Arabidopsis thaliana: one gene and its partners. The protein of the gene in region 1 interacts with the protein of each later gene in a pairwise test. Each region holds a gene or a part of one and is shown on either strand. Other genes may lie near its edges. The genes, in order: AT5G52420, PHT4;1, ABCD2 and MGT9.

What was found.
Region 2: the proteins of AT5G52420 (region 1) and PHT4;1 interact in a protein complementation assay, tested with the Arabidopsis thaliana proteins (one large-scale study listed by BioGRID).
Region 3: the proteins of AT5G52420 (region 1) and ABCD2 interact in a protein complementation assay, tested with the Arabidopsis thaliana proteins (one large-scale study listed by BioGRID).
Region 4: the proteins of AT5G52420 (region 1) and MGT9 interact in a protein complementation assay, tested with the Arabidopsis thaliana proteins (one large-scale study listed by BioGRID).

The regions. Positions count from the first base shown.
Region 1 is NC_003076.8:21,279,675-21,283,972, forward strand, and holds AT5G52420 (uncharacterized protein), read left to right. Parts: upstream 1-2,098; 5' UTR 2,099-2,142; coding exon 2,143-2,871; 3' UTR 2,872-3,132; downstream 3,133-4,298. Other genes in the region: AT5G52430 (hydroxyproline-rich glycoprotein family protein), read right to left, coding at 3,419-4,298.
Region 2 is NC_003071.7:12,672,085-12,678,365, forward strand, and holds PHT4;1 (phosphate transporter 4;1), read right to left. Parts: upstream 3,994-6,281; 5' UTR 3,920-3,993; coding exon 3,560-3,919; exon of another isoform or gene 3,485-3,559; coding exon 3,377-3,484; intron 3,245-3,376; coding exon 3,089-3,244; intron 3,000-3,088; coding exon 2,784-2,999; intron 2,696-2,783; coding exon 2,486-2,695; intron 2,400-2,485; coding exon 2,262-2,399; intron 2,184-2,261; coding exon of another isoform or gene 2,175-2,183; exon of another isoform or gene 2,165-2,174; coding exon 1,997-2,164; intron 1,908-1,996; coding exon 1,823-1,907; intron 1,699-1,822; coding exon 1,601-1,698; 3' UTR 1,217-1,600; downstream 1-1,216. Other genes in the region: JOSL (JOSEPHIN-like protein), read left to right, coding at 1-137, 242-278, 825-1,216; AT2G29654 (uncharacterized protein), read right to left, coding at 5,195-5,377. UniProt on the Arabidopsis thaliana protein: Specific for inorganic phosphate transport across the thylakoid membrane in a sodium dependent manner. Binds glutamate but cannot transport it. May act as an ascorbate transporter at the thylakoid membrane.
Region 3 is NC_003070.9:20,284,672-20,291,363, forward strand, and holds ABCD2 (ABC transporter family protein), read left to right. Parts: upstream 1-2,184; 5' UTR 2,185-2,245; coding exon 2,246-2,597; intron 2,598-2,682; coding exon 2,683-2,750; intron 2,751-2,826; coding exon 2,827-3,153; intron 3,154-3,247; coding exon 3,248-3,412; intron 3,413-3,496; coding exon 3,497-3,725; intron 3,726-3,861; exon of another isoform or gene 3,862-4,307; coding exon 4,308-4,549; intron 4,550-4,626; coding exon 4,627-4,903; intron 4,904-5,025; coding exon 5,026-5,276; intron 5,277-5,364; coding exon 5,365-5,574; 3' UTR 5,575-5,730; downstream 5,731-6,692. Other genes in the region: ICDH (isocitrate dehydrogenase), read left to right, coding at 1-14, 160-248, 349-452, 556-624, 702-817, 986-1,020, 1,126-1,268, 1,527-1,649 and 1 more; TAF6B (TBP-ASSOCIATED FACTOR 6B), read left to right, coding at 5,929-6,048, 6,118-6,365, 6,453-6,559, 6,631-6,692.
Region 4 is NC_003076.8:25,805,585-25,811,943, reverse strand, and holds MGT9 (magnesium transporter 9), read left to right. Parts: upstream 1-2,232; 5' UTR 2,233-2,419; intron 2,420-2,499; 5' UTR 2,500-2,548; coding exon 2,549-2,794; intron 2,795-2,891; coding exon 2,892-2,921; intron 2,922-3,284; coding exon 3,285-3,441; intron 3,442-3,567; coding exon 3,568-3,689; intron 3,690-3,759; coding exon 3,760-3,834; intron 3,835-3,924; coding exon 3,925-4,152; intron 4,153-4,246; coding exon 4,247-4,291; intron 4,292-4,374; coding exon 4,375-4,419; intron 4,420-4,518; coding exon 4,519-4,548; intron 4,549-4,622; coding exon 4,623-4,742; coding exon of another isoform or gene 4,743-4,781; exon of another isoform or gene 4,782-4,823; intron 4,824-4,832; coding exon 4,833-4,919; 3' UTR 4,920-5,246; downstream 5,247-6,359. Other genes in the region: XYL4 (beta-D-xylosidase 4), read left to right, coding at 1-120, 203-1,059, 1,128-1,717. UniProt on the Arabidopsis thaliana protein: Low-affinity magnesium transporter that mediates the influx of magnesium. Plays a crucial role in male gametophyte development and male fertility.

The DNA of each region.
Region 1 (4,298 bases):
GATTTCTATGTTGAATTCAAAACAATAAAATAAATATTAGCTAAGATATCACGAAGTGATAAAGATGAATCTTTGATTAAATCACATTAAAAGTTGAAAAACGATATCATAAGAGATTTTGTGTTCTCTATATGTAACGCTATCTGGCAACATTCTTTCTGCTTTCCAATAAGGTTCATGAAGAATGGGTAACACAATTTCGAATGCAACAACGTTATCATACGGTGAAACGACATGCTCAAATCCAACTTCTACGATTGCGAGCAGTTTCACGGAACATCCTCGCCTTCTTGCTATTCTGTCAAGATTGAGAATCTCGCACAACTTAACAATGAAAAATACCAATCTCGTCGTTTCACGGTAGGCGGGTATTACTGGTATGTAGCTATAATCTTGCTCTTATATATTACCATTTATGTTTTATGAGACATGTAACACATATAGACCATGATTTTACTATGTACACATTAGCTCCTGAAGGGTTAAATTAAATCTTCATCATAAGAAAAGAACATGAATCTTTCTTACTTTATGCAATAATATTTCTGTTAAAAAGAAAACCTGCAGGAAATTGATTATATATCCAAAAGGGAACGACGAGGACCATGGAAGTGGTTATATTTCAATGTACGTAGAAATAGACAGCACATCTGAAGTTTTTGCATATGTCAAGTTCTTCGTCTACAATAAGAAAGAACAAATGTACTTTACTATTCAAAGTTGTTGGTTTAAAACATATCTATATTATTCAATATTTATATTAACTATATAAGACTTGTTCATTTGTCACATATGTCACGTTGAATTACTCCATTTTTTCTAATAGATACTGAAGTAAAGCGTTTCAATGCTTTAAGAATGGTATGGGGATTCTCTCAAATGCTTCCTCTCCACTTATTCGAAAATCCAAAAAATGGATATATATTCGACGGGCAAAAATGCGAGTTTGGTGTTGAAGTGATGGTTGTTCCACCCCTTACCAATTGGGAAGTGATGTCTTTTGATCAGAAACTCTCACCATCCACATTCTCCTGGAGTGCCAATGGTTTCTCCTTATTGACAGAGAATCTTTATGTGTCAAACAACTTTTCAGTTGGAGGAAGAGAATGGTGAGGCTAATAAGTCATTGAATATATATACACGTCTATGTATGCTAAGTGTATACAAAATAATGTGACTTTTCTATAGGTGTTTGAAGATGTATCCAAAGGGAAGAGAGGCAGATGGCAAATGGTTGTCCTTATTTCTGCATATATATAGCTGATAGTGAAACCTTTTCGGAGGATGAGAAGATTTACGTGCATGCAGATCTCCGAGTATTATACCCACGTCCACATGTATACAACAATCACGTCACACAGAAACGTATAATTAACTTTGAAACACAATTTTCTATATTCTTGAATAAATCACTTAGTTGCTTTTTTCAAGTCTTAACTAAATTTTCAATACCTTACATATATTTATTTTTCTTGCAGTTAACGTCTGTTACAAGAAATCAACTCAAGGGTGGGGTTGCGAAGATTTTGCGGCTATAGCCATCGGGAGTGTAATTACTTGGACAATGACACTTTGACATTGGAGGTCGAATTTAAAGTTGTTTCTACAACCAAGTATTCTCACCCATGATCTAAGCTCTTCTTGTAGAATATCTACAATATTCCATATTCTACTACAAGTCTAGTAATCTACAATGCCTTGTTTCATACGATTTCTAGTAATTAGTTCCTTTTTAGTTAAATCAATTCTACAGTTTATGGTTCCGGATTCATTTCCTGCTAACTAATTATATCATTTTTTATAACTAGTAATCATTGAAGCTTATAATTGAAATCTATAACTACAAAGCCTAGTGCACTTACGTCCAGAAAGCCAAAATAATTAGGCTTCCTATTAACACATATATTTATATGTTTCTTAAGAACTTTTACGAAATTACCTGCATGTAGTTAAAATAATAAAATCTAAACTAATTGTGAGCACAACAATAATCCGCCACGTCTTCTAAACCTCTTCCATTCAAAACTCTTCACTATCCGCCACGTGTCCCCTTCTTCACACTCTTTTTATCTTCCTCCACCTCTAAAACTTTCTCACCACATTTTCCCGAGAAAACAAAAAAAAAAAACTTACACCAAAACGATGTCTGGAGGTGTCGGTCCAACGTACAACGACATAACCTTACCCAAAGAAGAAGAAGAAGAACATCAAACCCAATCCACCTCAACAGTATCATCCACCGGAAAACCCGCCGGATTCTTCTCATTCCGACAACTAAACATCCTCGCAATAATCATCGTTCTCTCCGCAAGTGGTCTCGTAACAATCCAAGATTTCATATTCACGATCCTCACTCTCATCTACTTCTTCTTCCTCTCGAAACTTATCTTCCCACCACACAACAATCCAAACCGTGACGCTCCTCTCACAAGCTCCACAAACAAAATCTTCCGTATCTATGTTACAGCGGCGGGGATCGTCGGGCTTATCATTCCGATCTGTTACATCTTCGAAGGAATCGTTGAGGATGATAAGAACGGTGTTAGCGCAGCTGCACCGCACGTGTTTCTTTTAGCGAGTCAGATTTTTATGGAAGGATTAGCGACCATGTTTGGCTTCTCTGCTCCGGCGAGGATTCTTGTTCCGATTGTTTACAACGCCAGGAGGGTTTTGACTCTTGTGGAGTGGATTATGAGTGAGTTCTCGAGGGAGGATGTGACGGGGACGGTTTCTGCGCGGCGGATGTATGCCGGGAAAGTTTTGGCGGCGGCTAATTTAGGGATTTGGTCGTTTAATCTCTTTGGTGTTTTGATTCCGGTTTATCTACCCAGAGCGTTTAAGAGGTATTACGGTTCTGATAAGGAGGATTGAAATCCCGGTTTAGTTCCGGTTCCAATAAGGAGAGTCAAAACCCGGTTTAATTCCTTTGTGGTTCACAGCTCTTGTTGTTTTCCCTTTTTGTTCTGTATATTATTTCGATGTTTTCTTTTGAACAATTCAGTTTATGTAGTAGTTCACAGTTGTATTAGATTTCTTACGATAATAACCGAATCTATGTTTCTGAAAGAACAGAAATGAAAATGTTTTAGTAATGATATAGAATAAGACCATTCACGATCTCAGTTCAAACAATATATTTGTATGAAACAGTAAAACAAGAAATAAACAATTTATATCAATGTAACAAGATTAGATGTAGGAGCTGATCCAAGAATATTCCAAAGTTTCCAACTACATGAGTACAGAAGTTAACTGCAAATCAAAGCTTTAAGCTTATTTATTCAGTGTGTATAAGTTGTTAGAACCCAAATCTCTTACCTTTTTTCACGATCCATGTTCAAGGTTTGTTACTTATAGGGTTTTATATCTCTGTCTTTGGTAATGAGGAAGAAGAAGAAGAGATGTCATTTTAATTTGGTTAGCTGACTCCAGATCGTAACCCCGGGAAGAAACTCCAGCTGTTTCCTGCAACCTTCTCGATATTCTCGTCTTTCGTGTTGTCGAATTTAAATTCTTTGCTAGATCCAATCGATGAGGAACTCAGCTTCTGAATTCTATGCTGTTCGTTCTCTCTGTCTCCTGACCTTTTCTCTATGTTTCTTCTTATGTCTGTTGATGAACTCTCCTCTGTTTCGATCCGGTCATTGTTGTTCATTCTGTCGTGTGATCGATTTAGCTTGCTTGCAAGACAACGTGCAACGTCTTCACCTGTTAACTCAAACGAAACTCTGTGATCTGCTACCATGACTTCAGAGCCATGATCCGAATTTGCCAGTGAAGCGACCTCAGAGATCTGATTTTGAAGAGGCCATGTGGTATTGTTGGGTGTTAAGTTTCCAGATACTATCTCTGGACCATTTGGTGTCAGAGCGCCTGAAGCCAAACCTGAACCATGCCCAACAGGTGTGATCGATCCAGAACCGAACCTCGATCCCCATTTACGAGCTGTAAAGTGCTCAAAACCCAAGAACTTTGGAGGCTCGCCTATTCGAAACTCAACCATGGGTGATTTACCAGGGTAAGGAGAAGATGTACCAGAGTTTGAAATCACTGACCCGGGAGAGATTAGATTACCACCACCAGGACTCCCCGGACACACCTGATTAGACCGAAACTCATAGTGCGAAGACGAAAACTTTTGATTCATCCCACTAGTACTATCCCTCCGAGTTAGCTCCAACGAAGAAGTAAGCAACTGAGCAAAGGGCACTTCAGGTGAAGAAGGTGTAGTTATATGGACTGATGATTCAGGAGGTGGAGTATACGGTGCAGTAGATGGCTCAGTTATAAACGCAGAG
Region 2 (6,281 bases), on another chromosome or scaffold:
GATTAATTTGGAACCTGCCATATAATGCCAATCAACTTCCATTAGCATCTAACTACCGAGTAGTCATCACTCATTGGTCTGATCTCAATGGAATGTTCTCACATGTAACAAATTACCCTCTAGACTTTGATGTCTATGTATGTCATGAAGTTGCTTGGTTATTATTTCCTTGCTGATATTCTTGTGCCCACCATTGACTTCGTTCTTCTTATTCTCTCTTTTTTTCTCTACTTTTGTGTAGCCTCAAGTCTCAAGTAAGGTATCTGCAATATATAAAGGTTAGTTTATCTCAGCCTCTCCAGGAGTCAAAAGAATTTGTTCACATTTCTTCTGTGCACACACCTGAGTGATCATCAAATAGGAACAATACCGAAAGGTTGCTTTAAAGAAAGAACCTTTATCGCTTAAACAAATGGTTTTATTACCTCTGCGGACCATCTTATACTTACTTTCCCTAATGGAAATGTAGAAAAACTAAAAACAGTCTTTTTCTTTTGCTCTATGGCTGCCTTTGCTTTCCAAATTTCGGCGTTTAAGTTTCTGATATCTTTAGATCTGTTAGTTATTACAATCCTTTTGACATAAAGTATCTAAAGTAAGTATGAAATTGAACCTACCTGCTTATATTTTATTTGTATATGTTTTGAATGTCTACAGTAATCATTGCTTTAAGTGTTAACATGTCATTATTGATACATTATTAAGAATCATGGCTTCTCTGGTCTCTACCTGAACTCTTATAGGCAACTTGTTCAGCATCAATCCCTATAAATATAATCCCTTACTCTCCTCAAGTTTGTTCTCACTCTCTCTTGATATGTCAGCTACAGGAACAAAACGGTTCAATGCAAACACTAGACCAGTAACTCCTGGTAAGCAATCCTCAGTCAAGGGACCATATTATAAGAATCCGGGATGCACAACAAGCTGTGGTTTGAGGCTACCGAGGAAAACGGAATGCACAGCAGCAAGACTGATCAAAGATCTCAGCTGTAAATTCGTTATGGGCTTACGTCTGGTGGTGATGAGGAAGAAGAAGAAGAAGAGATCTCCACCATTGAAGAAGGCTTCTTCTTCTGGGATATCTCAGCCTTCAGTCATCTCTGTCGTTAATGATAATAATCACAGATCAGCGGCAATAGAAGACTGCATACAATTCATAAACTCCTCTTCCTCCTTCACAAGATCAAATTCTACCTGTGGCAGTAAATCTTAAGTTTTAGTTATGACCTTAAGTTTCGAAAACTCTTTCTTGGTCACTTGTTTGCTACGCAATAGCATATTAGAGAATTGCGTGTAATATCTTTATGATACAAATATATATAGAGCTGAAGAGAGATTTTGAGTAATCTTGAGAAAGTGTGAGCTTTGTTTATTTACAAAAAATCATCTGTATATCTTTCATCTACAAAGTATTATTCATATGCGTTTGGCCTAAATCAACGAGCAGAAAGATCCTGAAGAATTTTCTGGCAAAAAAGGAATATTCCGGCTAGCTCTCAGACTGCAATGATACTTGTATAATCAGAGACTGGCGTGAGGTGAAGTTGCACCTGATGAGAGGTCTTGGAGCCGAACTATTTACTATTCTCGGAATGGATCAATCGATTATCTTCTCTCCGGTTGAAAATAGGTTCCAAATGACGGTCCCAACGAGGTAAAGACCGACCGAAATCGTGAAAACGTCATCCCAAGAACCTGAGGCATTTCATGTCATTGTTAATTCCATTGAGAAAACACAAAAAAAATGAAACTTAGAAGAGATTTTATAAAGATTAAGCAAAGCATTGTCAGAATTACGAAGTGTTTTGAGAGTACTGACCGTGTTGTAGTATGTGACCAGTCGCAGCTGTGCCAAGAACTCCGGCAAGTACTCCAGCAGTATTAGACAAACCAAGTAACACTCCCTGAGAAGACCAACAACATCAATGTGCTAATCCATTTTCTTTTGAGTAGCATGATTCATTAAGACTTGGGAGTAATTGACTAAACTTACAGAGTATCTTGGAGCGATGTCTTGATGGTTAGAGTATAGACCAGACTGTGAAAACGCATCAGTCCCCTGACTACAAGCCATGCACAAAACAGCCATTGTAGGAGAATCTATGTGTTTCAGCTGTGTTAGGAAGAACGCTGGTCCAAGAAACCCTATTGTTTGCATTATCTGAATTTCATCATAGAAACTGATTATCGAATGTATCACTTTTACTAGATTGCATCAAAACGGAACTGAAGAACAGAAGAAGTGATATACAAAGTACCTTGCGGACATTCGTGACAGAGAAACCTCGGCTGACAAGTGTATCGGCAATCCATCCACCGGCATTTGCAGATATTGCCATTGTCATCCATGGAAATACAGAGAGAAGTCCTGACTCCATAAGGTTGAACTTCAGCACCTGCCTCACAACCGTCCATATGATTAATGATAAGAAAACAAATAAAACATCAAGCCTCTTGATTAAAAGACAGTAATATAACGGACTTGATGGTAATAAGTTGGCATCCATGTTAAGAGAATGAATGTTCCCCAGTTGTGACAAAAGTGGCAACTGATGAGAGCCCAAACCGGTGGTTTCGACAATATCAGCCTCCACGGGATCGACTTCACTGGCTCTTTGCTAGCACAGTTGTCTGCAATTAGCTTTCTTTCTTCAGGGAGCAATGTTGGATCTTCTAATGGTGAACTCTCTGCCTATAACAAGTAACAACACACGTCAAATCGTCAATGGTAATGAGATATGGGATCTACAAATAGTTAAGAACAGTAGAAAAAGTCTGACCTTAGTTAGCCACAGAGTCAACCATACAGTTCCAAGAGACCCGAAAGAATAAAACACAGAAGGCCATCCAAATTGATGAATCAAGAAAGGCGAAAAGGCTAAACCGGTGACAGATCCAAGGTACATTCCGCTGTAAACAAGCGCGAGTGATCTGCTTCTCTCTTGCACAGGAACCCACTTCGACAATATATTATTCATAGCAGGCATTGCAACACCCTGGAGAACACAAATGAGAACTTACTTCTCCTTATCAACACACACAAATCCGAGACTGATATCTAACATCACTAAGAGTAATCACAAACCTCTCCAACTCCCATGAAAGCACGAACAACGAGCAAGTAAGGAAGACCGAGTTTAGCAGCTACAGGAGTGAGAATTGTAGCGATTGACCACCAAATAACACCGAATCCAAGAACCCTTTTCCCTCCTACAGTGTCTGCCCAAATTCCACCAGCTATCTATAATATCAACAAACCACTGATTCAACTACACTTTTGATTTAAATGTGAAAGCTAGTGAGACTCATTTAAAAAAACATTGATCATCTAAAAATAGAAACCCTAATTAAGGAATCAGGGAAAAAAGATTACCTGTGTAAGAAGGTAACCCCAGAAGAAAGAAGACTGAATCAGACCAACTGTTGCTGGATTCCAACCATACTCAGCTGACATCGGAAGTATAGCTATACTCATATTCACCTGTTAAAACATCATCTGTCCCAAATTGAATAACTCTTCCCAATCCATAAAAATCCAATCTTTTTTGCTACTTACTCTGTCCATATTGCAGAGAAGAAAAGCTGAGAAACAGAGTAACACAATCACCCACCGCTTCGGAAACTCTTCCCACCATGGGAGGACGATAGAGCTAGGCGAATCAGAAACGACGTCATTGTTTCCACTTACTTTATCTCCTTCTACGTAATACGAATTACTGCTTTCACTCTTGTCGGAGCTCCGAACTAATACCCGGAAAACACTGGACCTATTTCGCGGGTAGATCCATACCCGTAACGACTTTGGAGATGGTTTGAGATTACGGAGGCTGCGAGAAGAAGAGGTTTTTTCAGGTGGACGATTTGAAGTGTAGAGAGAGTGAATATTTGAAGAGCAAAGAAGAGCTCTCGCGTTCATGGCGGAGATAGATTTTTTCTTCTTCTTCTCTGTTTTTTTCTTCTTTGTTTTAAGAGAGAGGAATTGATTTTTTTTTAAGGTCGTGGCTGATGTGACGACATGTGGCGTTTAAGTATTGGTTGAGTGAGGATGTCATAATCTAACGGGAAGTAACGGTTAACAGAATAACTATTGGAGGTCCATTATTAACTATCAGTTTAACATAAAGCCCATATAAGGCCCAAATAATGTTAGCTTACGAGCATAAATTGCGAGATCTATCTTACTTCCCCAATGAAAAAAAAATCTCAAAGATTTGGAAGTAGACCTATGAATAGAATTACAATAATACGGCAATACCAATAACAATAGTTTATTGTCCGTAAGGATATGAGTATGACCAGTGATCTACTTTATGTGGAATAAAGGCAGGATCCAAAGGTGGAACCCAAACCACCCACTAATTGCGTTCACAAAGATGCGAAAGAATATTTAATCCAACAATTGATTAAGTATCCCATGCGAGAGAGTATTGATCATGATATTCAAAATTAAGTGTAAAATGTCAATTTGTATGAACGTATGGGATAATAATGTTGAGGACGAATAGACAGAGGTAAATGTCAATCAAATTTGGTAATGTTTGATGTATTCTTAGTCGATTACATTGATTACATTCTTACATATTTGTAAATTAGTGAAATGTATGAAATATATGTAGCTAGATAGAACAAAGAATCTATAAAACTTGTAACAAAATCACAATTAGAAGATTAACGTTTGCAGCTTTCTTATTTATTAATGGAGGAGGTCCAAGTTTAGGGGATGAGAATGATGTAAGATTGTGGTGCGGCAGATTTTACTCATCGAAGGTGTCCCTTCTGGTCTACCATAAGAATTTCCTAGCTTAGGCTTTTATGAATTATGACTGCCACTTTTATTTATTTTATTCTTCTTTTAAGTCATCATTATTGTTGTTGTATCGTTATTTCTTTGTTGCATGCGTTATCCATTTACCAACATCTACCACTGTGTCGTCAAGGTCTTCCAAAATCTAAACGAAACGTAAAATTTATGTACCAGTAATTCATCACTCCTAAAAAAACACTTGATGATTTTCACCAATTGATATAACGACGTAACGAGATCACTAAACTATACGGATCATGCATGTTGATCTATCGGCACGTAATATTGTAGGTGTAGACTATAACCTAGGTTATGGTATTCAATTCAAAGACGTCCAATTCAGAAATATGAGATGGTGTCATGTTACTATTAGATCCGTACCAGTCACTAAACAAGAAGGCAAGATTCATTTCTCAAGAGGTAGAAACGCAAACTTAGGCCGTAAAGACACAAGAATGCCAACTTCATGTGGATGGAGACAGGAAGAGCTTCGAAATGACCCACTTTCCAAAAGTACATGCTTCTCTCACGTGGCCCACTTCTCCAATTATCATTCACCATTTCAATCATTCATCACTAACTCTCCTTTCTCTATTATTTTATTTCTATATTTATTAGCTAAACGACATCTAAGCTATAACCAAATTACACTTTCTAGATTTGGTTATATGAGAAAAAATAATACGTTTTTTAGTTTGTACAATGTGATATTCTCTACCGACAATGTGATGAAAATAATTTATCCAACCAAGTGGTAGTAATTAATCTGATTTATGACCTTCAATCGTTATCCTATATGAGCCTACGAATTAATTTTAAATAGGCGCAACTTTTTTCTACTAATCAAAATTTCCATGGTATATATAATCTCAGTGTCAAATATGACGAGTTTTCATCAATATGTAGTTATATTCAGAGTAATTAGAATATACATTTTCCAAAACAAAAATAAAATGGTGAGGCAAAACCACGATTGATTGTGATGAAAACATGAACGTGATAACATTTATATACTAACATTCATATTAAACTAAACGAATCAAAAACTTAGCACCTCCAACTGCCACTTGAATATTTCGCTTTTCTTCTCCTGAAAGCGAAACCTTAACCTAATTTTTTTTTGTCATGTTCTGTATATATAAAAAGCCTAATTAAACTGAATGAAACATTTATAAATAAAATCACTTTGTTTATTTTCTTTTAATAATTTGTTATGATCAAATGCATGGATGTGTGCATGGATCTAATTAGTAAACACATATGCACTGATGAGGCGCAGAGATTAGAAATGAGACATGTGCACGTGTTCCCCTGTCTACGTCCGCATCCTAAGCAACAAAAATTTGTGAAACCAAATATTCATATCAATAAAATAATTCTGTGTAGCCTTGGATTCCTCTAAATTTCGAGTTTGTCTTCTTTATAATTTACATTGTATACAATAATTTAAATGTAATTACATAACATCGTACAA
Region 3 (6,692 bases), on another chromosome or scaffold:
GAAACTAGTTTTTGGTAATCTCCTCCTCCCGTTCTGGATCTGTCTAACCCTTCAATTAAATTGTTCATTATAGAGAATAATGGGGGATCATTGTCATTGAATTCACCTACCTGTGGAAGTTTATTTATACACGTTAAAAATCATATCTTACATATGCAGAGCCAAGTGGATCTTCTCAGAAAACAGAATTCGAAGTCTTCAATTTCACCGGTGGAGGTGTTGCTTTAGCCATGTATAACACTGATGAGGTAGATATTATTGAAATAGTCCTCTCCTTCATGTCTGCACTATCTGAATACACTTACAGAGTATCTATTGATATGGTGGTCCGATTTCATTTTTGAACAGTCTATTCGTGCATTTGCTGAGTCCTCGATGTACACAGCTTACCAGAAAAAGTGGCCACTTTACCTCTCCACAAAAAACACCATCCTCAAAATATATGATGGAAGGTGTGAATTCACTGGCCTTTATACTTTCTTGTTAGAGTCTCACCGAAATCATTTCACCATCTAGTCATACTGCCCTGATATTACCTTTTCATCTTGTTTTCAGATTCAAGGATATATTCCAAGAAGTTTATGAAGCTAACTGGAGATCCAAGTATGAAGCAGCAGGGATATGGTGAGATGTGCATGTTATTAGCGACATTCTATTACAGTACACCATGCAAACTTGTAAACAAAGTTAATGAAATCCAGGTATGAGCATCGTTTGATAGATGATATGGTTGCATATGCCATGAAAAGTGAAGGGGGTTACGTCTGGGCATGCAAGAATTACGATGGAGATGTACAGAGCGATTTCTTAGCCCAAGGTTTTTCCTCTTAAATTTGAGATCTGTCTAGGGACTGAAACCTTAATTCTGCCAAATGCATTTTGGTCTTGTATCATGGTTCTTTGTTCTTTACTTGTGATCTAAATGGGGACAGAAACTTCAATTTTATTTCTCCTTATGAAACAAAGTTTCTGCTCTCCGCTGCAGGATATGGATCTCTGGGAATGATGACTTCGGTGTTGGTATGAAATGACGCGGGCCTCAGCCAAAGTTTTTGGTCTTTATCATGATAACATGTTTCCTGCGCATCATTATATTTTATGTATTAAATTTGAGATATATTACAGGTTTGTCCAGATGGAAAGACCATTGAAGCAGAAGCAGCTCATGGCACAGTTACACGCCACTACAGAGTTCACCAGAAAGGTGGTGAAACAAGCACCAACAGCATAGCCTCTATTTTTGCTTGGTCCAGAGGCCTTGCCCACAGGTAACGCATTTCCACTGTCTTTAAACATTTTCATACTTGGTAATTCGTGTTGCTACTCTGGAGAAAATCCAGTCCCTTGCTTCAATAATGAGTTAGTCTATCAGGGATTGTTTGTGGTAAGATTTGTCATTACTTGTCTCTTTATAATTGATCACTGAACTATGTGAACCGTTTTACCTTTGGCATAAATTGAGTTTAAAGTCTCTGAAAACTGGTTGAGTTCATCTTAACAAGATGTTTGGTATGTGATGGTACCAGGGCAAAGCTGGACAGCAATGCCGCACTCTTGAGCTATACTGAGAAACTAGAAGCAGCTTGCATGGGGACGGTGGAGTCTGGCAAAATGACCAAGGATCTAGCTCTTCTGATCCACGGAGCCAAGTAAGACTAAAACTTGAGAGAAAGTTGATGAGGTTGATGCACTTAATAAAAAATGTTTAAAGATAAGTTTTTGTCTACTATTTGAACAGGGTTAGGAGGGATCAGTATGTGAATACGGAAGAGTTCATTGATGCGGTGGCATGGGAGTTAAAAAGAAGATTGTTAGGCAACAACTCCAGGTTGTGAGAAGAAAGAATGGAAATCTGAAAAGCAAAGAGTCTCAGCAGCGTGATGTTTGATTTGATGCTCTTTCATAGGTGTAGAACTTAAAGCCTGAAAAGGGGCTATTGCATGAATAAAAGGAGATAGACTAATTGGGTAATTTATTGAGGAACTCAGATTTCCCAAAGCCGAGACTCACTCCTCATTGATTCGTTAAAAATTGAATCTTTTTAGCCCTTCTTTCTCTGTATAATCTCTGTTGTAAAAGCTACCAATCAACAGAAATGGCTACGTTCTCGTTGTCATTATCTTCTCTTTCCCTTTGTATTATTTATCTGGCAAAGAAATGAATGGTTGAGCTTTAGTTATAAGTGTTCCCTCTTGCTCCCTCAAGTTGCTATGGCTATGTGGGATTAGTAAGAAGACGACGGAGGATGATTTTGATGATAACAGCTCCCGTTTGTCCTCCTCACCTTCTCCTACGCCATTCTTCTTTGCTTCGCCATGAATCATCGATCGGAAACTTTCATCGGAAGAAAAATCCACGTTTCAGAACCGTATCATGTTCTTCTTTGTTGCCGCAACCGTCGGTTCGTCCGGATAAGGCATCGGAGTTGAAGACTCTGTGGAAGAAATTCTACAAAGTCGCGTCGCCTTATTGGTTTTCCGAGGACAAAGACCAAGCCAGGCTTCGTCTCGCCGCCGTCTTCGCCCTTACTCTCGCCACCACCGGCATTAGCGTCGGCTTCAATTTCCTCGGCCGTGATTTCTACAATTCTCTCGCCAGTACGAATTCTTCAACTCTCTCTCTCATTTCTCACTTTTCAAAAACAACTTGCTCTGTTGATCCTCTTTTCTCTGTGTTCAATAGACAAAGACCAAGAGCAATTCACCAAGCAGTTGTTCTATTACCTCTGTGCTTTCGCCGGCGGCATTCCGGTGAGTTTTCCTCACGCTCCTCCCTCTGTATCCAATCTCAATGAATGATGTTGTTCACTTTCCCTGGATTTTGCAGTTCTTTGTGCTACGAGATTATACAAAAGAGACTTTATCACTGAGATGGAGATCATGGATGACCAAATATTACCTGCAGCGCTATCTCAAAGATCAAACCTTTTACAAGATCCAGTCTCAGTCTATCATCGACAATCCTGATCAGCGCCTTGTTGACGATTTGAGTTCCTTCACTGGAACTGCCTTGTCTTTCTCTTTGACGCTTGTTAATGCCACCATTGATCTCATCTCTTTTAGCAACATCCTCTTCACCATTTATCCTCCTCTCTTTCTCGTTCTCTTGCTCTACTCCTTTGGCGGTACAGCCATCAGTGTCTTTCTTGGCAAGGTACAACAATGCCTCGTTAAGCAGTGTGATTGTCTCTATTCTGTTCCGCTTCAGATTTTGGCTTTGTTGCATTAACATTCCCTCTTGTGTTCAGGGACTAGTGAATCTCAACTTTCTACAAGAGAAGAAAGAGGCTGACTTTCGTTACAGCCTTGTACGAGTGAGGGAAAATGCTGAATCTATTGCTTTCTATGGAGGCGAACAGAATGAAATGCAGCTTCTGCTTCAGCGTTTCAGAAGCGCTTTTGATAATTTAACTGTAAAATTTCTCGAGCTTTCTTATCCATTTATATATATATCTATAGATTGCACAATAAATTACATTCAATTTTTTCACCTGCAGGAATTGCTGATAGCATCTAGAAACCTAGAATTCTTCACCGATGGATATCGCTACCTCATTCAGATTCTTCCAGTTGCTGTTGTTGCCCCAATGTATTTCTCCGGGAAGATTGAGTTTGGTGTCATTAACCAGTCAGTGTCTGCATTCAATCATATCCTAGGAGACTTCTCGCTCGTTGTCTATCAGTTTCAAGCTATCAGCTCTTTTTCTGCTGTCATTGATCGACTAGGTAGATTAATTATGTATTCTGCACTCTCTTTTAATGTTCTATATATATACTACTTGTTGCTTACAGATCACACAAGACCTTAGATCAATACCGAACAACATTAGACGCAGAATATGCACATCACCATAATTTCTGTTACCTGATGGTGAGAAATAGATATTTTAGTAGTAGGGTTTTGTTTAGAATATCGAAGAGTAGAAGTTGCAGTGTGTCGCTGTAGTTAGTTATTTTCTTGTGTTATAACAGTATAGAGTGTGGTGTATAGTAGGATTTTGATAAGAATATATAGATAATAGTTAGACTGTATAGTAGTAAGATTTTGTTTATAATATCTAAGAGTGAATACCCGGAAAAAAATGCGGGTGTAACCGTTGAGAGTGTGATGGGCAGACAAAAAGATCGAGTCAGCTGTTCACTTTCCTGCTTAAAATTGGGTCTAAATTATGTCTTATGTACAACATATTCACAAAGTTTCATTGTTTCTGCAAATCAACTTCTACGGCTAAATGAAAAACTGCATTTGCTGTAGGTTGGGATTCTCCTTTTACGCATCTAACAATATCAAGACTTCTTCCAACACAGGTGAATTTGATGATCTTTTGGATAACAACATCTTCAGAGATCCATCTGACACTGTGGACGAGATTGAGCTGACATATCAGAGTGAGATGAACTCTTCACTGCTGGACACCAATGGTTCAATCAAGTCCCAACCGAACCAAAAGCGTCTGGAGATCGAGGAGCTTACTCTTCAGACACCAACAAACGGAACCACATTGGTTCACAACTTATCTGCAGATGTATATGACAAGGATCACCTACTGGTTAGTTCACTTTGACTACTTGTGTTTAAAGCATGTGACTGGTAGATTGGAAGTTACTTAAAAATGCCATTTAACAGATAATGGGTCCTAGTGGGAGTGGAAAAACTTCGCTGCTAAGAGCAATGGCTGGTCTTTGGAGGTCAGGGAAAGGAAAAATCACGTTCTACCTCGATCCTGAGGTAGATTTTACACAGGAGAAATCTGATACTCAGGAAAATTCAGGGAAAAGAGGAGACGTATTGTTCCTTCCACAAAGGCCTTATATGGTTCTGGGATCTTTGCGTCAGCAATTGCTTTATCCTACCTGGAGTGCAACTGTGGAGGAGACGACACCTGGTGGCAGTAATATTGACGGTACTCAGTTTAAATTTGTGTCTAGTAACAACCATTTCTTTCAACTCCATTTAAGTTTATGCAAGCAGATTATAGAACCCAAAAGCAAATCGACTGAAGAAAAAATGCGTTGATTTTGTTAGGTTCACCACCTCTGCTGATTAGAGAGGACGGAAATGAAAAGCCGACAACAGATGATCTGATGCGGACTCTAGAGAAGGTTTGTCTTGGACATATAGCGGATCGCTTTGGTGGTCTTGATTCGATACACGAGTGGTCCAGTGTTCTCTCACTTGGTGAGCAGCAGCGCCTTGCCTTTGCACGGTTATTGCTGTCTCAGCCAAAGCTGGCGCTCCTGGATGAATCCACCAGTGCGTTGGATGAAGCTAATGAGGTACTTGTTGGTTCTCCTCTCATCTATCATTTAGAATAATATCATGTACATGTAGCGTTGAGCCATTAAAATTCCTCTTGATGCCCAGGCGTTCCTGTACCAGCAAATCCAGTCGGCTGGCATTACATATATAAGCATTGGCCACCGCCGGACTTTAACGAAATTCCATAACAAGATCTTACAAATCTCAACGGCAGACCCGAAGAGCAATGAACGTAACTGGCGAATAGAGGACGTGGATGCCCAAGATTCTTTGTACGGTAGATTGAATCAAAAGGAGGTGCCAAGTGAAAGCTGATCAAAACCTGATTGATTACATAAGAGACAGAAGCAGCAGGTAAATCTGCAAACGGGTGTCATGAAACATATAAGAAACATGTTTGGTGTCCATTTTGTATATAATCTACCAGACTTGACGTTGACTGAAGATGCAAGTAAATAGAGAGATTGATACAGATACGAGTGCAACGAAGTTCTGATTAAAAATAACACGCGAGATGAGCTAAAAATTCAAAACCGGCTGAGTATTTATCATAAGCCCAATAAATCTAACGATGGGCCCATTTGAGAAAGCCTGATAGAGTGAGAAAATGTAACACGACTGACTCGACTCAGTCGCTCAAAGTCGAAAAAGAAAGAAGGCGCAAGGAGGATGGTGACGAAAGAATCCATTGAAGTGATAGCTCAGAGCATTGGACTCTCCACTCTTTCTCCGGACGTCTCAGCCGCTCTTGCTCCCGATGTCGAGTATCGCGTCCGAGAGGTCATGCAGGTATATCATCAACTTCAACTTTACTTTTGCCCTCTAATCTCCTCTTTAACTTGTCGTCGCAATCTCCAGGAAGCTATCAAATGCATGCGTCATGCTCGACGCACCACTTTAATGGCTCATGATGTCGATTCTGCTCTTCATTTCAGGAATTTGGAGGTTTCCTCTTCCTCTCTTCTTCTTTTATTTCATACCGTTGACCCTGATTTTGACTTTTTTTTGTATAGCCTACCTCTGGCTCCAAAAGTATGCGGTTCAAGAGAGCTCCTGAGAACAGAGATCTATACTTCTTCGATGACAAAGATGTCGAGCTCAAGAATGTAAGCTTCATTGATTGGCCATGAATGAAGAAGATGGTGAAATGTTGTTTATTGTTATTAAGCTTCCCTTCATGGTCTCTTGTGCAGGTTATCGAAGCTCCTCTACCAAATGCACCTCCTGATGCATCTGTTTTCTCATTGGTTGGCAATTGATGGTATTCAACCTTCCATTCCACAGAATTCTCCTCTCCAAGGTATTTCTTTTGTCTTCTTTTGCATCACCTACTACTTCTCCTTCTAATCCCTCTTCCATGACAATTTGTAGCCATATCTGACCTTAAACGATCGGAATATAAGGACGATGGCTTGGCTGCTAGACAGGTGCTT
Region 4 (6,359 bases), 4.5 Mb from region 1:
TGTGGTTGATGGGAATGTGGCGAGTGTTATGTGTTCTTACAATCAAGTTAACGGCAAACCGACATGCGCTGATCCAGATCTGCTCTCTGGTGTTATCCGCGGTGAATGGAAATTAAATGGGTAATGATCTGATCTGATCCGATCAGCTAAGTTTAAATCCTTTTCGTGTGTTTTGGTTTTGATTTTGGTTCTATTTTTATAGGTACATTGTTTCAGATTGTGATTCAGTAGATGTCTTGTATAAGAACCAACACTATACAAAGACTCCAGCTGAAGCTGCAGCCATATCTATATTGGCAGGTTTGGATTTAAACTGTGGTTCATTCTTGGGTCAACATACAGAGGAAGCAGTTAAGTCGGGTTTGGTAAACGAGGCAGCTATCGATAAAGCGATTTCGAACAACTTTTTGACCCTTATGCGTTTAGGATTCTTTGATGGAAACCCAAAGAACCAAATCTATGGCGGGTTAGGTCCTACCGACGTTTGCACGTCTGCGAATCAAGAGCTAGCAGCAGATGCAGCAAGACAAGGCATTGTTCTACTCAAGAATACTGGATGCTTACCGCTTTCTCCTAAATCGATCAAAACACTAGCCGTGATTGGACCAAACGCGAATGTCACCAAAACAATGATTGGAAACTACGAAGGCACGCCGTGTAAATACACAACACCACTACAAGGACTAGCCGGGACGGTATCTACAACATATCTACCAGGCTGCTCCAATGTAGCTTGTGCTGTAGCGGATGTAGCCGGCGCCACGAAACTAGCAGCCACTGCAGATGTGTCTGTGCTTGTGATCGGTGCCGATCAATCAATCGAGGCAGAGAGCCGAGACAGAGTCGACCTGCATCTTCCTGGACAGCAACAAGAGCTGGTGATCCAAGTGGCTAAAGCAGCAAAAGGACCGGTCTTGCTCGTCATTATGTCCGGTGGAGGTTTCGATATTACATTCGCTAAGAATGACCCAAAGATCGCCGGAATTTTGTGGGTTGGTTATCCCGGAGAAGCCGGTGGTATCGCCATTGCTGATATCATCTTTGGCCGTTATAATCCAAGTAAGAGACTCTGTTTCAAACCGGTTTTTGTAATTGCAAATTTGAATAAACCGGTTTTGGTTATGTAGGTGGGAAATTACCGATGACGTGGTATCCACAGTCGTATGTAGAGAAAGTTCCGATGACAATAATGAACATGAGACCCGATAAAGCAAGCGGGTATCCGGGTCGGACTTACCGATTCTACACCGGAGAAACAGTATACGCATTCGGAGATGGACTCAGCTACACCAAATTCAGTCACACTTTAGTCAAAGCTCCAAGTCTCGTTTCTCTCGGTCTCGAAGAGAATCACGTTTGCCGATCATCGGAATGTCAATCGCTAGACGCGATCGGACCGCACTGCGAAAACGCTGTCTCCGGCGGTGGATCGGCGTTTGAAGTTCATATCAAGGTACGAAACGGAGGAGATAGAGAAGGGATTCACACGGTGTTTCTATTCACGACGCCGCCGGCGATTCACGGATCGCCGAGGAAGCATTTGGTAGGATTCGAGAAGATTCGATTGGGGAAGAGGGAAGAAGCGGTGGTTAGGTTTAAGGTAGAGATATGTAAAGATCTGAGTGTGGTTGATGAGATTGGGAAGAGGAAGATTGGTTTGGGAAAGCATCTTCTTCATGTCGGAGATTTAAAACATTCCTTAAGCATTAGAATCTGATTCTATATTTTTATTTGAGGAAGAAAAAAAGAATATTAATATGCTTAAGCTTTTGCAAGTTGGAAAAGAAAAGTAATAAAAAAAAGAAATTGTGAATCTCTTTAAAATTATAGCATTAGTAGCCGAAAATGTGGGGCATATATAAACATAATTCGAATATCTAAAATATATCATGTGTAATTCATGTGTAACATAAATCTAGCTAATATCAGTTAGAGTTAGATTTATGTTTGGTATTTCAATTTAAGTAAATTTAGTCTTTTTTTTTTTAATTAGTTGCTCAAACTAATAATTCTGATAACAAGCAGATAAACTCGTAGTATATCCCGATCAAAAATAAATTAATTTTTATTTTCTTAATCTAAACTAAACCGGGTTTTGTGTCGAATTTAGGTGATTCGACTCAAATATGAACAACATTTACCAGAAATCAGGGTTATTATTACCGGTTTATTGCGGTTTACATTTTAAATATAAATAAGATTCACCTCTAACAGAATATATCACGTTTTCCTTTTTTTCTGAAACTGTAAAACTCTCTCACAAAGCAAAAAAACCAAACCTAAACAAAAATCTAGAAAGAAAGATTTCCGAAAATCTTTTTAATGAAAAAAGAGCAGACAGGACGAGAATTCGCTTTTCTGAATCCTTTAGAGTATTGTTTTCTCCGTCGAATTCGCATGAACACTTGAGCTCAACAAGGTCAGATTCTCTTGTTCGCTTTTTTTTTTTTGATGAAGAATTCGACTGTTGTGTTGATGCTGGTGCTCTGAATTTTACAGACGGCGTGGAAGTGGACGGTGAGGTAGTTTTTTTTAGTTTTTGAAAGACATGGCGCAAAACGGGTACTTGGTTCCAGCGGATCCTTCGGCGGTTGTGACGGTGAAGAAGAAAACGCCACAAGCGTCGTGGGCTCTTATTGACGCGACGGGACAGAGTGAGCCACTCGATGTTGATAAGTATGAGATCATGCACCGTGTCCAGATCCACGCTCGCGATCTCCGGATTCTAGACCCCAATTTATCTTACCCTTCCACTATTCTTGGCCGAGAGAGAGCCATTGTTCTCAATTTGGAGGTTTGGTTCTGTTTTTTGGTTCTTCAGGCATTCATTGTTTCTGGGTTTTGTTTTTGTTTCAGAGTGTAATTAGTTTTGTTCCTTCTTCTTTATGCAGCATATCAAGGCTATTATCACTTCCGAAGAGGTTAGTAGTTTACTCTTTGATTCCTTTGCTTACCACACTTAGATTTGTAGGGTTTTTGCAGTAAAAAGTTTCGATTTTTATTTTGTTAGGTAGATTTTTTTCTGAATATGCAGATGTTCATGTTAAAGTTTGATTCTTTCTTGTAGCCAGTTTTTCAAAATGCTGACAATGTGTTAAGGAACTTGAGCAATCACTGAACTAGGCAAAAATTTGGCTAATTTTTCAGTTCTGTTCTTACTATGCTATAGTGTGTTGAAAGTTCATAATATCAGCCAGGCTTTGATCTATTTAGCACTATGGAATGCTTAGAGGAGTATAGCTTTTGAGTTCTCTTCTTGTAGTAATGACTTGGGCTTATTACAGGTTTTGCTTCGGGATCCGTCTGATGAAAATGTTATTCCAGTTGTGGAGGAGCTTCGAAGACGCTTACCTGTTGGAAATGCATCACACAATGGTGGTCAAGGAGACGGGAAAGAGATCGCAGGTGCTCAAAACGACGGTGATACTGGTGACGAAGATGGTATTGTCCCTAGAGACTCTTGGCTCTTTTCCTAAACCATCTAAACTCTGTGAAATTCATCTCCTTTTTGATGACCCTTAATTTGCCTTTTCATATATGTTGAAATGTCTGCTTGTTGCAATATAGAATCCCCATTTGAATTTCGGGCGCTGGAAGTAGCTTTGGAAGCAATCTGTAGCTTCTTAGCTGCAAGGACAGCAGAATTAGAAACAGCTGCTTATCCTGCTTTGGATGAGCTTACCTCAAAGGTAGGTACCTCAATGATTTATTATCACCAGTGATCCAGTTTTCAACTACATTTTTACATTCGTCTTGTAGATTAGTAGCCGTAATTTGGATAGAGTTCGGAAATTGAAGAGTGCCATGACTCGGTTGACAGCTCGGGTTCAAAAGGTGAGCAGGTATCTTTTTCTTATGACTTATGAGTATTTGTAAAGTTTGTAATATGAATAGAGAACTAAGTAGCTTCATCGCCTTTTGCAGGTAAGAGATGAACTCGAACAGTTGCTGGATGATGACGATGATATGGCAGATCTTTACCTTTCAAGGAAACTTTCAAGTGCTTCCTCACCGATTAGTAGTATTGGTGAACCAAATTGGTATACTACTTCCCCAACAATAGGCTCTAAGATTTCAAGAGCAAGTAGAGCGAGTTTAGCCACAGTTCATGGGGATGAGAATGATGTTGAAGAACTTGAAATGTTACTCGAGGTTTGTTGATCCTGCACAAAATCTTTTATCTGATTCTGATCTATCTTCCATTCAAATGCCAAGTCCAAATACACACGTCTTGATATCTTTACAGGCATACTTCATGCAGATCGACAGCACTTTGAACAGATTAACAACAGTTATCCTCTTGCTCCCTTTTCTTTCTGTTCTTTTTTGCAGACTTTTTTTACTTTAAAAACTTAATTTTTGACTCTGATGCAGCTACGTGAGTATATTGATGACACAGAGGACTACATTAACATCCAGGTATCCAAAAACGAAACCTCAAAATTTTTAACATGTTCTTGAAATCTGAATATAAGTCATTATATTAAAAGCTAAAACTCGTCGGTTTTCTATTCACAGCTTGACAATCATCGGAATCAGCTTATTCAGGTACGTGAATGTCGAAAGCCAAAGTTTTTTTAATATGTCATCTTCTTTTGTTGATCATCTTCAAAATCCTGCAGTTGGAGCTAGTGTTAAGTTCTGGAACAGTTTGCTTATCGATGTACTCTCTTGTCGCTGGAATTTTCGGGATGAACATTCCATACACATGGAACGACGGTCATGGATACATGTTCAAATACGTAAGAAACCAGAATTCTATTCGCATGAGGATGAAATAAAGATCTCTCTCAAGATTAACTTATGTTTATCGGGGTTTTTGGTTGTTGCAGGTGGTGGGCTTGACGGGGACACTTTGTGTAGTCGTGTTTGTGATCATAATGTCGTACGCTAGGTACAAAGGACTTGTGGGATCTTGATGGCTGAATTTGGGTTAGATGGAGAGATTGTGAAGGGGCATTGGGCAGATCTTGTTTTCGATTATTATACTTGTGGTCGTTCTGAGTTTTGAACGAGCTTCACAATTATTTTAGTTGTCGCATCATAAAATTTAATCAAACATATTGAAAAAAGCAGAAGCATTGTGACTTGTAATTGCAAAGATAAGCTCTACCATCGATTCCTTACAATTAGAGCATAGAAATCAAATTTAGGATCCTTGATTCCTTATTAGCTAGACAACTTTTCAATAATTATCGGTTGAAGCCCGTTTAGACCCGCGGGCTTAGTGCCTATTTTAATATCGCTAGTTGATGTTATAACGTTTCTATTTGAAGTCTCTTCATGATTTAGGTTTCCATTGTCACACACAAAAATGGTGTGTTTTGGATTCTCTTGTAAGTCTTATCAAAAGAGAAGTTTTTGAGATTACATTGGCAGAGAAGATTGGGCTAGAGTTGGGCCTGTTGATGTTTATTTTGAACAAAGTCAATTTAAAATCCATCCAATAAGGAGCTTTAGAAGAAAATATTTTATAAAATAAAAATGTATGCATGCGAACGAAGAAACAAACTCTGTCCTAAACCCTATGCTGATGAAGTCAAAACCTAAAAACATGATGTAAAATATTGCAACAAGGCTTTCGTGTTTCCACATACACATTTGTTACCAGATATGTTATTAAATGATTAAGAAGGTATAAAATATCGTCGACGTCAGCCGTTTCGCGTGGAGAGTTGAGGCCGAAGCTGACGGAATCGCCGACTAGTAAAGATTCCTTTTATTTTATGCCTTTTTTGTACTTTTTCTTTGATATATAATTCATTTTTATTTAAAATATTATGATAGATTCTTCCACTCTGCAAGGAACCTCATTGGCTGACGTAATAGGATTTGCCTCTTGGAACATCATAAAAATCACAATTTCATTCATTTAAAAGAAAATAGTCGTTCGTCTTTATTGTGGTCCTTTGGCGACAATTTTCATCACACCACGACAAAACAATTGGTATCAAATTATATAAATAAATTGTTCTTACTTCTTCTTCTCCCAGCGCACATCTAACATTTTGTTCCTCTCATTAATCACTTCAATTATTTTCCAACGAAGAAATATTTCATTTACGTACATCAATGATATTATTTGCATTGTTTCATATTTTTGTTTTGTTTTGTGATTGTTTCCTACTATACATATAACATATACAAATTACAATTGATGTTTGAATATGTATGTTGCTTGAGTAGAGGAAATTTGAACGTTTTCGCTTATAGTCTTATAGATCTAGATGTAAGTACAAACATAAAATAAAGAAACAGAATCACAAGTCTTTTATTTCGTTGAAGCTTGATACCACAAGTGCTTCGCATTTGGATAGTGGAATCTGATTAAATTTTTTTAAACAATACTAGGTTTAATG